Linked DNA regions of Astyanax mexicanus. The main gene of each other region encodes a partner of the protein of the gene in region 2 in a complex. Links are inferred from orthologs where the notes say so. Each region holds a gene or a part of one and is shown on either strand. Other genes may lie near its edges.

What was found. Proteins that work in one complex are often made in the same cells at the same time.
Region 1: the proteins of tln1 (region 2) and amyloid beta A4 precursor protein-binding family B member 1-interacting protein are in contact, whole or in part, in a crystal structure (PDB 4W8P), measured with the Mus musculus proteins. The link is inferred for Astyanax mexicanus from reciprocal best matches to the Homo sapiens genes TLN1 and APBB1IP. Residues at the interface, in NP_035732.2 of Mus musculus: Leu1492, Ala1495, Thr1496, Val1498, Ala1499, Thr1502, Ser1503, Cys1506, Asn1507, Arg1510, Val1526, Ala1529, Lys1530, Ala1533, Asn1534, Thr1536, Ala1537, Val1540, Ile1543, Lys1544, Asp1547; in NP_062329.2 of Mus musculus: Asn5, Ile8, Asp9, Met11, Phe12, Thr14, Leu15, Glu18, Met19, Leu21, Leu22, Ser25.

The regions. Positions count from the first base shown.
Region 1 is NC_064413.1:51,205,111-51,213,278, forward strand, and holds the start of amyloid beta A4 precursor protein-binding family B member 1-interacting protein, read right to left. Parts: upstream 3,255-8,168; 5' UTR 3,076-3,254; intron 1-3,075. UniProt on the Homo sapiens protein: Appears to function in the signal transduction from Ras activation to actin cytoskeletal remodeling. Suppresses insulin-induced promoter activities through AP1 and SRE. Mediates Rap1-induced adhesion.
Region 2 is NC_064427.1:27,068,002-27,076,504, forward strand, and holds the start of tln1 (talin-1), read right to left. Parts: upstream 3,217-8,503; 5' UTR 3,022-3,216; intron 2,992-3,021; exon of another isoform or gene 2,895-2,991; intron 1-2,894. UniProt on the Homo sapiens protein: High molecular weight cytoskeletal protein concentrated at regions of cell-matrix and cell-cell contacts. Involved in connections of major cytoskeletal structures to the plasma membrane.

The DNA.
Region 1 (8,168 bases), on a different chromosome or scaffold from region 2:
AGAATAAATTATACTAGTTACTTAATAAATAATACAGGTTACATAATCCTAGTAGAAGCTGAATAATAAATAAGAGATACTCAAAAGTTCATACTGGTTACAGAAACATTCATACAAGACACTGAATGAATTCTAGTAAAGGTTGAATCATCCATAGGAAATAATGAATAGGTCATACTACTTCTTACTAAAAAATGAATAACTGATACTGAAAATGATTCAAAGTTTTTAAAAGACATTACAAAACATGTTACATTTTCTAATATTGGATGATGTCACTATGATCACAGAGAAAGTGAAGCACACTATTAACCAATAACAGCACAGCTTTACTCATCTTCCTACCCCTCCCACCTATAACACAGAGAAATGACAATCACAATCACAAATACGTCATATCGTGGGAGGGAAATGTGATTTGAATGAACTTTAAGCATCAGTTTTACCGCTTAAGCTGATTGGAGGGTCCTCGTTTGCTCTCTTGGTGAGATAGTGTGGGCAAGAAGGCATCGAGTAAGCATTTCCTGCATTAGGAACGTAGAAAACGCAACATGCAGCTCACAGTGCTGCTTCACTGGTGTAGTAAGACAGACTGGGTGTGGCAACAGCACAGGTGTTATTTGGCCTCGTTTAATTATAGTGCCAGCCAATCATGTGCTGCTGTGCTCAGGTAATTAGGAAACTGTGCTAAAACAATTCCCTTTAATCCGCTGCTGCCCTCAATAATACGCTGTGTGTCAGAACAGAGAGGAGATGTTGCAATCCGATTTCCTTCTGCTTTAGTTCTGTTGAAACTTCATCACAAGACAGCAGTTTATCATTCATCCGGACTGGGCATATCTCACTAAAGCCCAGTCCAGTTTATAAACACACCCAGTCCTGCAGTCCTGACTCACACAGTCCTGCTCACTCTGTCACTCTGTATTATCTATTTCTGTCTGAAATCTGTCCTCAGGTGACCAGTCCCAGCGTGACCTGCGTTATTCACATAAACCAGGCTTTATTAAGGCAGTGATGTATAGTCTGATCCATCCTATATTTAAGTCAAGTCAAGTCAAGTAGTTTTTTTTATTGTCAATACTGCATATGTACAGGACATACAGATAATTGAAATTACGTTACTCTCCTTCCCAAAAATTACAGCAAGAACAGGAAATAGATATATAATATAAAATAATGGGAGACACTATATGTACAATACAACAAGGACACAAATAGACATACATAGACAGAAGACAATAGTGCAATAGTGATGGGGGGGGGGGTGATTAAGATGGGATGACAGTACAAGTATTAACAGAACCCGTATACAACAGTAGCGCAAATATGATATAATATTAGCTTAAGGCTGGTAAAGTGAATGAATGCATAACGTTGCCAATGAGCCAATGAAAAAGTTTATAAGCCAATGAAACAGTAGCTTAGCCCCGCCCACTGCACTGGAAAAAAAATAACAGCACTAGAGCCAGAGAAGCAAATTAAATGAGCTTGATTGTATGTGAATTAGAACACGTTTTTCATGGCTATGTTGGTATTTATGTATGGCCTCCAATCCAACAGACATAAAAAAGCTTACTTATTTTAGTTCATTTGATTTATTCTGTTAATATAGATTTTGTATTAGAAGGTTAGAGTTTTCCTTTGTGTGCATTACAGACAGAAAACAGCATTATTAGGGGCAGTAGTTGTGGTAGATACTAAATAATTAATGGTAGATACTAAATAATTAAAGGTAGATACTTAACCATTCATAGTGGGTACTGAATAATTTAGAGTACATACGTAATAATTCATAGTATATGTTTAATAATTCAGGGTAGACACTGAATAATTAATGCTAGATACTGATTAATGACAGGTAAATACAGAATATTTCATGGTAGATACTAAATAATTCATAGCAGTTACTGAATACTTCATATTGGCTACTGAACAATTTCTAGTAGATATGTCATAATTATTAGTAGATATTGAATAATCTATGGTAGATACTGAATAATTAAACAATAATTGTAGATAATGAATAATTCATAGTAGACACTGAATAGTTCATAGTAGCTACTGAACACATTGTAGTAAATAATAAGTAATATTAGACATTGAATAATCCATAGTAGATGCTGAATAATTCATAGTGGGTTCTAAACAGTTTGTAGTAGATACCTAATAGATCATGGTAGAAACTGAATAATTATTAATAGATACTGAATAAATATTGATATATACTGAATAACTCACAGTGGGTACTAAAAGCTTGTAGTAGATCATTGATTACCATAAGTAGATATTGAATAATTAATGGTACATATTGAATAATTATTGATAGATAATTAATAATTCATAGTGGGTACTAAACAGTTTGTAGTGGATGATTAATATTTCATAGTAAATATTGAATAATTAATGGTAGGTACCAAATCATTCATGGTAGATACTGAATAATTCATAGTAGCTACTAAATAATTTGTGGTAGATTCTGAATAATTGACAGTACATACTGAATAATTAATGGGTTATGAAAAAATCATAGTAAATGCTAAATAAGTCATAATAGGTCCTTAATTATTTTAGTAGTTAGTTAGCTATTAATGGTTTATACCGAACAATCCATAGTAGATATTGAGTAATTATTGTCATATACTGAATAATTAATGGTGGAGACTGAACCATTCTTAATGGATGCTGAATAATTAATAGCAGTTTCTGAACAGTGTATCATATGTACTGAGTAATTAACATTTTTAATGGTTTTATACAATAATAATTACATCACAATCAATAGAGAAATCTAATAAGACGATTAAAAAACAGCTAATACTGACTTCTACAATATATTTTACACCTCTGGGGAAAACAATAGGGTGGACTTTGGTTCAGGTACACTGATAAGAGCACAATATAAGGTTAGTTATTAATCCATTAATCTCGACTTTCTGTGGGTTAATGATTGATCAGCGCTGTATATAGGAGCAGCGTGTCTGAGAGGGGAGAAGTAAAGCTCCTCAGGCTGCAGTTCTGTGATTATCATTACCGTTAGCAGTGTTTCAGAACTGAGAGAAAACACACCCAGCCTACCTTTGGTGTATTTCCTCTGGACTCAGCTGATGAATAACGGGTTCATAAATGAAGGTTTTCCTGTTTTCCTCAGATAGCAGCTTTTCTGCTGGGCTTTCCTCCTGTGGCCACCACCCGACACATGTATCTGGGTGAGCTGAGCTGCATTCGACTCTCTGACATCTAACTGACTTCCTGCTAAACACGGAAGCTCAGGTCCAGACCTGTTCAGTGCATTCCTCAGCCAGCAGCAGTGCTGTAGACCACACCTCTCCACCACACTCCATCACCCACAGCTCACACACTCCCCTAACATCACAGCTGGAGATTATTGTGAAGAAGCTTTAGATTTTAAAGAAACTCCACATAATATATATATAGAGAGAGGTTTTACACAAAGCATAGATCAGGGATTTGGCAAGATATTTTCCAAGCCATTATGTGGAGGGCCACAAAAAAAAAATCTCCAGCCCAGAGGGTTGTTGAACCCAATTGCAGAACAGTTGATCTCAAAGCAGGTAAACCCAAGAAGAAAGGAAAAAAAAAAGAAAAAAGAAATTAACACTCCTCATGCGGGATTGAACCTGTGTCGCCAAGAACATGGTCCAATACACTACCACTGCCCCGGCTAGTGAATTGGGACACGGCCTGGAAAAAAACGCCCTTATAAGGAGATAAGGAGCCCAAGAACAGGTGGAGAAACGAGAACGGACACACCAAGTGCGACAGAGAGAGAGAGATAGGGGAGGATGGAAAATAAAAGCTCTCTAGAGGAGCATTTTATTTATTTCTTTTTTTTCTTTATTGTTAATTATAATTCAAACAACCTCATGGGACTGATGATGCATGCTTGTCGACCCCAGGCAAAGACGTTCCTGTTACTGCACAGGGCTCAGAGTGCCTCAGATTTTTTTTTAAAAGTCTGCACTGTCTGAAAGTAGATACCCATACCACAGTTAGTTCCGACCCTGCAATGTGATTGGCTGATAGGCATTCTATGAGTACTGTTATCAGCCGGTAATGCACTTTAACCAAAGCTCTCCATGTATTACTCTGCCACATGCGATGCAGCGATTACATTCTTTTTATTTTTTTTGCAGTTTGTCCAAACAGGCTAGAGTGGGTTTTAATGGGGCATTTTTTTCCCCTGCAGATAAATCGCTTTTTACACTGTTATACAGACTCAAATAGCTCAAAGTAAATCTCCAGAGAGTGTCATGAGCAGTTACCTTTACCTTAAGATGGCGGCACCCAGAGATTAGGTTACGCTACGGGTTGTAAACAGCTGTTTTTAATAAGCTTCTCGTGCACTTTTGAAGTTACTAATGGCTCTCCAGGTTCTACAAATGCAGGTGGTGTGGAGCTTCTTTGAGTCTGGATAATGGTGCAAAAAGCAATTTATCTGCAGGGGCAAAATATGCCCCATATCATCCTTTCTTAAGCATGTTTGGACAACTGCAAAAAAATACTGGATCTTGGAAAGCTGTGGTAGAGCGGAGGTGGGCTATTTAACAAAGGTTAGTACTCTAAATCAAAAGTCAATTTTACACCGGAGTTCTCCTTTAATAATATAAATTTCCGGTTTGTGCTGTTTTTGAGATGTTTGTGATGCTCCTCAGACAGGATCTTTAATGTATCATCTTTGATGTTCCTCAAAGACCCTCTTAGTTGTATATTATGTTGATGTGGCGCCAAAAAGTGTCTGAATGAAGTTTGAGCCTGATGTAGTCACTGTGGTCTGCAGAAATGGGAGGAGGGAAGAAGAAGAGGGGAAAAGGCAACTGGAAGGGAAACCGACATTTGGTTTCACTCATCCTTGGCTAATGTGTAGATGATTTATTACAGTGTGGAGGAAGTGAGGCACGCGTCACATCTCTGTGGAACTGCCATCTCTGGCTTGGCTTTTGTCTGAAGTTTGCTGAGGCCCAGCCCACACAGAGCCCAGGAAAACACTGGGAATTCCACAGGGCCGTTCTGGGTGTCATCCAGCCTGAAATACTCTCTCCAAGATAAAGCCGTAACTCTGCTGGACGGATAAGACTGTCGGAGTGAGGATGAGCAGACAGCTATAAGAACTGCCCTGACTACAGTGAATAAGACACAGTGTTGCACCACTTATGACCTGGGTTACTCCCTGCGTCATAAGTGTGTCCAAAAGTATCCAGACAAGAATTCTAATGGACAATTAGCAACATTTTGTTGGCCTTGAGCTGCCAAGCATACTATATCTAGAGGTTTATAAGCAATAAACTGTATATACTATAAGAGAAGACTATATATAAAAAACATTTACTTCCATTGTGACATTTTGAAGCCAACCAGATAGGGACTTTTACTCCTCTAGCCCATGCTTGGAATTATCAGGCATAGTTCCAACTTATTTTTTATATTCTGAATCTAATAACACATACAGGGGTTGGACAATGAAACTAAAACACCTGTCATCATTTTAGTGTGGGAGGTTTTATGGCTAAATTGGAGCAGCCTGGTGGCCAATCTTCATTAATTGCACATTGCACCAGTAAGAGCAGAGTGTGAAGGTTCAATTAGCAGGATAAGAGCACAGTTCTGCTCTAAATATTACAATGCACACAACATTATGGGTGACATACCAGACTTCAAAAGAGGACTAATTGTTGGTGCACGTCTTGCTGGAGCATCTGTGACCAAGACAGCAAGTCTTTGTGATGCATCAAGAGCCACGGTATCCAGGGTAATGTCAGCATACCACCAAGAAGGACCAACCACATTCAACAGGATTAACTGTGGATGCTGTAAGAGGAAGCTGTCTGAAAGGGATGTTCGGGTGCTAACCCGGATTGTATCCAAAAAACATAAAACCACGGCTGATCAAATCACGGCAGAATTCAATGTGCACTTCAACTCCACCAGAACTGTCCGTCACCACAATACATTATTGTGCACTAAAACCAGGTGTTTCAGTTTCATCGTCCAACCCCTGTATATTAAACTATTCAAAACAGGTTCTGGTCAATCTCAGGCAACTTTACTTAATTATTTACATGGTTTCTAATCCAAAAGATGGTGACAAAACTCATGTGACATTTAAAAAGCATGTTTAAAGCAAGTCCACTCATTTCTTTGATTTTCTCTCAAGAAAGTCTTTATTTTAAAGAAATAGTTGACTGCTGGCTGCGTGTTAAAATAATTGATATCTATGACAAAAAAAATCACTCTTGTTCATGGCACTCATTCCTGTTACTGGCACTCACTCCTGTTAATGGCACTCATTCCTGTTACTGGCACTCATTCCTGTTACTGGCACTCACTCCTGTTACTGGCACTCATTCCTGTTACTTTTTATGTTTTAAGTAACAGGACTGAAAGTATCAGGAATTCATTTTTAGCATAAAAAACATGAAAAATAGCTTAATGGCAGCAATGCTAATAGCACCAGGAAACTGGGCACATTATAGTGATTTTTAAAATAAACAAACCATGTCTAAGAATTAATTTAGATAACAGAAATAAGTGTTAAGATTGAGCTCCTCAGTCATAGTTAAAATAATATCAAATATACAGAAAAACTAATGAGGGAACTTTGGGAAATTTTGGTCTTCCCATGATCTTCAGAAGAACCAGCTGATGTCACTTCCTGTTGTAGATGTGACTTGTAATGTGTAACAGGACTGAGGGAAACCCATGATCACTAACTAAAATCACTGAACTAAAATGTGGCCTTCACTGTCACAGGATGTATGTGTTGTTAGTGCTTATTTGTCTTTTTAGATCATACTAAATAGATCATACTATCCTTTTAGAAAGACTAGAGAACATGGTCGGTGTAACCGGAACTGCCTTAGCATGGTTTAAATCGTACTTAACCGATCGCTATCAGTTTGTGAGGTTAAATGATATGTCTTCCAGTTTTACCAAGGTAAGATACGGAATTCCACAAGGCTCTATATTAGGACCGTTATTATTTACATTATATATGCTCCCACTGGGCAAAGTTATTAGAAAACATGATGTGAATTTTCATTGTTATGCGGATGACACGCAGCTCTTCATATCAGCCAAACCTGATGACAGAGTGAGATTAAAGAAAATCGAGGATTGTGTAGAAGATGTAAAATCATGGATGTCGCACAACTTCCTCCTATTAAATAGTGATAAAACAGAAGTTCTCCTTTTAGGCCCCAAAGCTGCTAGAAATAAATTATCAGACTTAATGCTAAATCTGGCTGACTTCTCAGCCACCCCTGGTTCAGCAGCTAAAAACCTTGGAGTTATCATAGATTCAGATCTAGCATTCGATAAACACATATCTAATGTTACTAGAACAGCTTTTCTACACCTCCGTAATATTGCCAAGCTAAGAAATGCCCTATCACTGCATGATGCAGAAAAATTAGTACATGCATTTATTACCTCAAGGCTAGATTATTGTAATGCGCTACTGTCTGGATGTTCCGGCAGTAACTTAAATAAACTTCAGCTAGTTCAAAATGCTGCAGCCAGGGTCCTTACTAAAACGAGAAAATTTGACCATATTAGTCCAGTACTATCAGCACTGCACTGGCTTCCAGTCAAATTCCGCATAGACTATAAAATTCTCCTGTTAACGTATAAAGCCCTACACGGACTCGCTCCTGAGTATTTACAAGACCTCATCTCCTGTTATGAACCACCGCGATTACTCAGATCTCAGGGTGCTGGTTTATTAGTAGTTCCTAAAATTCAGAGGAGCTCTGCAGGAGGAAGAGCTTTCTCTTATAAAGCGCCTCAACTCTGGAATAATCTCCCCGAATATGTTCGGGACTCAGACACAGTCTCAATCTTTAAGTCTAGACTGAAAACTTACTTGTTTAGTTTAGCTTTTGGTAATTAATGTTTTTTCCCTTTAGGTAAGGCTGCAGATTCAGGGGTTCATGGACAGAGGAAATTGTGGTAAACTGAGATGCTGGTGCTGCTGTTCTCCCACTGCACACGGTCACTCAGGTTTGTGGACGGTGGAGTGGGTGGACGCCAGTGTTTCAGGGAGCCTTCATGTCTATGTTACCTTCTGGCTCTCTGCCTTTAGTTAGGCTGTTTTATTTAGATCTGCCGGAGTCATTTGCCACACTCTGATAATGTTTTATATTCTCTGTTTT
Region 2 (8,503 bases):
CGAAGTCAGTGTTTACTATGATAATTACACCCTACTGGTTAGCAGATTACATGTCATACTTTGATGTGGGTAACTGGAACATTTGGCAAAAACAAAAATGTGTCATTCCTGACAAACAATGCCAAACAGTCTATTTCAAAACACTTTCACATCTAGTAAGAACTTTAGTATTCCAGGTAGGATAATCCATCAAGATAGCATATCTTCTAAAGCGAATACTGTATTTTTGCATGCCGTGTCATACTTAATGAGGTAGTTTCCTGGACAAAGATTAACCCTAGTTGTATACTATATTTTCTTTAAATGGGAAATCTCTATCTCAAAATGCTGTGTAGGCTAAAAATCTCATTAGCATCCTGCCTATCCCCTTCCCTTACCCAAAATGTAAGCGATTGGCTAAGACATGTTTAAGGTCTGAAGCTTGCTTATATTAATTTAACCTAAAAATACTGTAATACTAAATTTACAGTGCTAAAAGTAAGTCTCTGACACTCTAATTCACACTAATTTAGATGACTTCAGTATTTACACTAATAGCTAAAAAAAAAAGACATGTCTTGGCCAATCTATCAAGTTCGGGGTAAGAGAAAAACTGCAAATTTAACTTCTGGCTAAATCTTTTCTTTATGTCAGCAGTGTATGCAGGCTGAACTGTTCAGTAAAGGTGTAATTCACAGTTGTACATCTTTACACTCTCAGCCTCCTAGACTGTTTCTCCAAATATGTGCAGACTTTCCATCCCTGCAGGGTGCATCTTTTCCTCTGATATCACCCATCTGACAGCTCCTGTGCAGCCACACATACGCACGCACACACACACACTCTGTTGTGCCACCCTACTACCATGCAGGAAAGCATACAATGAAATGAAACATGGTGATAGGTGGCAGGGTCAAATTACTACTTACATTACCTGGAACACCAAGCCCAGCTGCACCAGGGAAATGTATTTGTATACAAACAGGGACCAAATATGTGTAGAAAAATTGAGCACATACACAAACACCCAATCTCTCAACAGTTCAATTGTACTTATAGGGAGGCGGTCTCCTCTTTGCTGCTTTAAAAGCTTCTACTCCTCTGGGAGGGCTTTACACTAGATATTTGACCACTGTTGTTATGACTGCACTGAATCACCAGAGTGCTAACTAGTGAGGTAAGGTACACATGGCACCATAGCTCATCCCATAGGTATGGCATGAGGCTCCATCAACCCAGAGAGATGAGAGACATATAACTTGCCCCTCAAGATGTAGTGATTACAAAGACAGTCACAAAGTAAAATACATGTTTTACTGTTTTTAATTTAGTATTTTGAAGGTCTTTTTGTTTAAAAACAAAGTGTACATACCAGTCAGCATATAGCATACACTCTGTCTTGAACTTATTTGACATGTTGGACATCCTGTAGTTACAGTACGCAAGCACACAGTGCAACCGCTGAGCAACTTGTTTAGGAAAATTTTGGAAATGTCTATGCCTACAAACATTATGGAATATATCATATTGATTTATGCAGTTCTGTATAGGATTGTATTGTATTTTGGAATGTATGCTTAAGCCTCTTTTAAGCCACTTTTTTTGTAAATACAGAATCCCTTTAATTTTTAATGTTATGCCTCCATTAAATAAAATAAGAAAGAAGAATTTGGTTTAACATTCTAACTTAAGGTGAAGTGATCAAACAAAGCCACATAGGATGCAATACCAGTAATTTACTTGATGAATATCGTGTTTAAATAACATTTTAACTTTTAAATACCTTTTAAGATAAAATATTTAAATATGTATATGCGCAGCAATATGAAGTTAAATATTTTATTACATACATAGATTTTAATTTACATTTTTGCTTATTTAAACACTGTTTTTTATTTGTTGCCAACATTAGGCAGTCAAGTCTTAAGACATTGGACATTACAATCGTAAAATATCATGGTACTATTACTTTGGTACTTCTACGTAAGGTGTAATTTTTTCAACTTTAACACGGGTAGCCACATGATTTAGGCATTTCGTCCACCTCTGTCTAACCTAGCTGAGACTGGCACTGGTCATGATGACCTTAGCCTCGTGAGTGGCTGCTCCAGAGTGCCTCATTCTACCGGTAATGCTCTTCTATGTTGGACAGTTAGCTAGTTAACCTAGTGCGCACACATTCAGTACACTTTATTATTACTATATATCTCTCTCTCTCAGTGCCCTATTCAGTAACTAGTTAAGTTCACTAGCTGGCTAGCTTTGTTAGGAAGTTTTTTAGCATTATAACGCTTGAAATCATAGCTACATTAGCTAATTAGAGACACATGATCTCCAAATCTATGAGTAAGCACTGAGCTTCAGACAGGAGGTCAAGATGAGCTGTACACTTGGCAATACTTTCTAGGATGGCGGCTATTACACGTTTGTTAAACTAGAAACGTGACATCAGGCATGAAGTTGACCGTTACAGGCCCGAGCTCATAACTCAGCTAACATAGGTTAGCTCACTTAAGTTAAGCTGCCGTACTTGACTTTTTACTCCCAAACTCTCATTAACTCACACAGTTAACGTTAGTGTACTTTGTATTCGGGCACATTACAGCTATTGCCACTCATAAATACAATTTTAACACAATATTTTAATAATCAAAGGTTAACAATAGGCTTTCAGAAAGTATGAGAACTGTAACGCTAGCTAATCTTCCGCGTTTCATATCAACAGGTTTAGGTTTAGCCAGTAAACCGTTAAAGCTGAGAGAACCTAGCGTTAGCTAACTAAAGTTAGCTCAGCATTTCTGCTCTCATGTTCTCCAGCTCTCTCATTCCTCACAGCATCTATTTTGGAATTTATCGTAATTTAGTCGAATAGTTCTGCATTAAACCCATAATATGACAGAATAAAAGTAACTTACACTACTCGCTAAATAAACTGCAGAGAAAACGCGTTGACTGAGGGCGACTCGTCGGAAGGAACTTCCCACCCTTCACAAAGTTTTCACCAAACGTTTCTTTCCACAGACAGTTTCCACTTCGCCTTACCTCCCCGCTTTCCTCGACCTCCGGCCGTCCACCTTCGGACTACAGTCGGTGTAAATATAGTCCCGTTCCCCAGTCAAAGTGGTGTAAGTTCCAGAAATGTTGGTAAAATGTCAGATTCTGGGTTTTTTCCTTGCCTCCGTTTGTCTGGTTGAGGCAGCGTCAAAGCTCCACCCTGCAGCAGCAGCAGCAGCCCGGCTAACGCTATTTTTTCCCACACCCGTATCCGCACAGGCCACGCCCCTCCTCAAAAGTGATTGGTCGTTCAGCGACTAGACTCAGAACTACTCATAGACGTGTACATGAAAAAGTAGTATAAGAAGTACCTTTGTAACGAATATCTTATTTTATAAACGTGACCAATTTACTTGTTTTCTGTGAATCTGTGAAAAGATTTTCTTTATTTTTTTCGTTCTTTCTGTCTTTCTTTATTTATTATTTTCCTTACTGTAAACCAAATATTAACCATGTCTCTTATGGACGTTATTGTTAATTTGTTATTTCTCTAGTGTGAACCAAACATATGGAACATGTAAAAACCTATTTTGTTCTTACCACTAGGTTATTTATACATATGTGTAAGTTAGACAGAACTGCTCCTAACTATTAAGCTTAAGCTTCCTTTAAACTAATAAATAACCCTCCAAAAAGCAACAAATGTCTGATATCTTATGAAACGTATGTATAACTTAATTTTGTTTTTGTCATAATTTATGTATATTTATATTTTCTGTACCTTGAATATCCTCATAATTTATATGTTGTAATTATGTGTGCAGCATTTAATATCTATTACTTATACTGTATAACAATAAAAAGCTAAATAGTTTATTGTTAAAAGTAAACAACAAAAATGATGTGAAAATGTGAAAAGAACATAAGCCTAAACACGCAGATAAAATATATATTATTTATTTAGTGATTTAATTAGTACTCCACTTTAAAAAAAAAAACAAGTATTGCCACAATAACCCAGCAAACACACAAAGTAGTTAAAACGTGGTTTCCTCTAACAATGTTGCTACAACATTGTTTAAAGTTGGCCCTGTTCATTGTCACAACTTTGTTTAATTAGGCAACACTCCCTCTAAGTAATAAGACTACAGTACCTTTTGACTTTCTGACTTTCTTAGATGTCGGTCATGTTACATTATGCATTATCTGGCAACAAAACACATTCTATTTTAGAACATTGTTGATGGCACAACGTTGTGACAAAATAATCAACATAACCAAAACAACCGTGTTTTTTTTTTTTTTTGGTGGGAACAAGCTAAAATAAAGAGGTCACAAGAAGATTAGAACTGCAGTAAGAGAGAATAAAACGTCCTAGTCTGTGCCTCAGCCAATCTTATTATAGGGGGGCGGGGCTTGGCGGAATAGGAGTGGAGTTAAATTATACCACTCTGAGCTATGCAGACAAGCAGAGGGCGTAGATATGGTAGATTTCATAAACCGGATGCCTTTTCACTCAACAACAAAAGCCAGCCAGGAGGGGAATGTTCTGCAGATCTTCACAGATAGAGAAGCAGCGGAACGATACAGTTCACAACTTTCATTTTCTCTCTTTCTTTCTCTTCTATTGTTTCTATTTTTCTGAGAGGGGGCAGCTCATGTCCTCCACAACAAAAAATGCCAGAAATTGAGAAATTTTTGCTATTGCTATGGTGGTCCACTAGAACACTCCACTGCTGATAAATAATGTGGTTTATTTAAATTAAAACATAAAAGTATAGACGAAAAACTTAAGCTCAGCACTGCAGCTCTTCCTTTCGCTTTTACTCTGGAAAACAGGCCCACTATTACAGCTCCATCCTGTGGTCTGATAGTAAAACAGCAGTACAACAAAGTTCTGTAAACAGAAAATAGACTCGGTTGTCAATGGAGGTCTATATAATCAGACAAAACTCATTAAAAGGTTCTTGAGTTATGACTTTCTGACAACACACCAATCATATTTCCAGCCTAATCAAGCACTTTTTAACTTCTTAACAGGCAAATATTTTTTTTAATTTTCTGCCTGATATTATAAGACTAAACCTTGTAATAGCATTACATAAAAAGGTTTCACGTGTAATAATAAACGTTACTGCAAATCTGAATTGTAAGTGTAATAGAAATTATTTTAAAAAAATTACTTTAAAAAACTTTAAAAATATAATGAATAACAATCGTAACATTGGCACTTTCCTTAACTTCATTTTAAAAATCACTATTTTCCAGAATACAAATCAAACATTTCATGTCCTCCAAACTTTTCGTTTCATTACAGTTGTCTAATTTTTGTCTACATTCAAACCTGCAGAATTTGGGGTTAATTTATGTTACTGATCTAAAATGATAAAGTAGAGCAGAGAATGAACAGGTAGCTTCAACAAGTAACCTGTAGGAGTCTCTCTAAAGACCACAAATTTTTCAGAATGTGAATAACCTATTTTACTGCAGAGAATAAGGATTTTGTATCATCTACACTCGTAGCCTGTATACGTTCCAAAGCCTGTAAAGGGGTTAAGTGGCGGGGTTATTCCTTAAATATAATTAAATAGCTTGATTTTTACGAAAATTCTCTTCAAAAGTTCAAGATATGTCTTTAAAAAATGTGTTATTTAAACACATTGTAAAAAGCAGCACTGCAGGCATGGCAAAAACAAAATGCATAAAAAAACTGTTGCATAAAGCTTTACATAATTCTATAATTGTAATGCATCAATTCAGAGTGAATATTAATATATATTTTAAACAGCTGAGTCATTCTGGTCTAATTATGAAAGTAGATTTTTGTCTAAATAAATGTACAAAAATAAATTAAGTTTGTAAAGATTTTGTACACAGATTTATTGTAGTCTTCCTCTTATTACAATAAAGCGCTTTTGGAAATGTTCCAAATCCACATGAAAATATAAATTCTAGGGTTCCCTATCTTAGAAACCTACCACATATGACCATAACCTCATTTTCTGCCAGGCGCTGGCCTACCATTCCCCCAGCAGTGCAAACTCCCAGTTGCCACACCAATCAGCGCCCCCTGGCGGCCAGGTGTTGAACGCCAATTTAAATAGCACAAGCAGAAATCTCCATAACTTTATCCACAGCACGTCCTAAAGCTGCTGCCAGGCCACCAGGCACAATGGAAATCAGCTGGCACAACTTAACCATGTGGATAAGCTACAATACTGATGTTCCTCAAATAATGTAAATGTAAATAACGGGGACAAAAAGGTTATAATTCTGATCTATTGGCTCATTCACAATTCTTTGATGGGAAGGGAAATCTAAATATTAAGATTGATTCATTATGGCACAGCCGAAACAATTCAGTGTTTTATACTTTATTCAATAATTCTCAGCAGGTGGACAAAAAAACAAACAAAAACAAAAAAACACAAGCATTTATTTCTTGTCTTTATTAAATGGCACAATCTTCAAAATTTTATTTAAAACAAAATATGAAAAACAAGCAATAAAAGTGCATTCTGAATCTGGATTGTTTGAAGCTGCTGGTCTATTGGCATAGTTTTCAGCACTGCTACAACACAACTTGCTGATTAGATAGTAACATGAATGAGTAGATGAACAGGTGTTAATAAAGCTCTAAGCAAGTGCAAAGTGTTATGATGCCGTTGGTCTTTTAAAGTAGAAGTGCTTCAGTAGAGCATACTAAAGGAAATCTGCAGAAAAAATTGAAGTTTGCGTGGATTTAAAAAATAAATAAATAGAGCTAAATATCAGCATGAACCGACTCATCAACCGACTCATCAACCGACTCATCAACCGACTCATCAACCGACTCATCAACCGAAATCGGGTTTAACGTTTCTTATTTTCAAATCAGCGACATGGAACAATGCATTGACATCCCGAATTTCCATTTTAATCCTAGTTACTAGCAGTTACTACTGTTTAAAGAGAGATGTTCAGTAGTCTTACTAGTTAACTAGGTTCTATGATTAACTTAAGTTTGTAGTAAAAAATATATATAATAATAATAATAATAATTATTATTAGTTCATTAAAGTTTGACAAATTAAATTATATAAATAAGGGTTAATTAGCTAGCCAATTTAATTTCATACAACTCACGTTAATGTTTGATTGGTAGTTGATACTCTTGGGTAATGCGCATTACTAGCATAGCGTTTACTGGGCTAAAGCTAGTCTACGGCCTGAGGTGTGGAAACTAGTCATTATACACAGTTTGTCACAGTTTGCTGTTAATTAATCTATTCTCACCAGCTGTGTGAGTGACTCGCGGTGTAGTCTATTTACTTTATAAACAGATTCTTAATTATAAGCAGAAAACACCTTACTTACGCCCAAAACCTACTATTAAAACCGTAGCTCCACGTCGGGACAATCAGTTGGTGCCTACTAATTAGCTAGTATTAGCTAAGTTTGCATTGGATTGTTAGCTAGATGTTCATTAGAAGTCTTAACTAAAGAGCTCAGTGGTATATAAACTACCTGCCTGGCGTAACAACTACCCAACCATTTACCTGGTAAGATAACGGTGTTCAACAAGACCTACACCTGAAGAAAACCGAAAGGAATAAACTTAACTGAGAGAGGGGGGGGCTCCGTTTTCATGTCCTCACTACTATAAACTACGGTGGCCGAGAAAGCCCAACGCAGTGCAAATTGAAAAGCGCTGCAAAAGCACAAAACACATCCATCAAAATTACAACACAGGCGCAGCAAATAGAAAAACGCGCTGCAAATAGAAAAACGCGCTGCAAATAGAACCACAACACAACGGAAGTGAGTCACAACACAACGGAATTTTCCCGGGGGACCTTAAAAGATACTGTACGTCTCGGACTTCACTATGTGTACAAAAGACAATAAGTGGCAAACAAGGCGTTTTGTGAAGCAGAACTTTTAATAATATGCACACAACCGTGGCAATCACAGGTAATAAACATAACTTACTTTTCAGAAGCTTGTTTGCCACTTATTGTCCTTTGTATACAGCTGGTACAGCATCTTTTAAGGTCCCCCGGGAAAATTCCGTTGTGTTGTGACTCACATCCGTTGTGTTGTGGTTCTATTTGCAGCGCGTTTTTCTATTTGCAGCGCGTTTTTCTATTTGCTGCGCCTGTGTTGTAATTTTGATGGATGTGTTTTGTGCTTTTGCAGCGCTTTTCAATTTGCACTGCGCTGGGCTTTCTCGGCCACCGTAATAAACAGCGTTCTCACTGATACCATCAAACCGGTGATGCTGCTGGATATCCGTCTTTAAAAGACTCGATTATTTGGTCGCGTCTAGAAACTTTAAAAGTTACTGATCTTTAGCTAAGCAGTAAATATATGGCAATGGTATAAATACTGGCAACTGTAGCGTGTTCTCTGCAAAGAGCTGGAATTTAAATGAACAATTATAAAGATTGACGTATATGTGCAGACTGCTTGCTGCAGCTGAGCTGTGATTGGCTGGGCAGTGTTCGGGGATCTGAAAGCGAGCGTTGTGATTGGCTCAGTTCATCAGTAG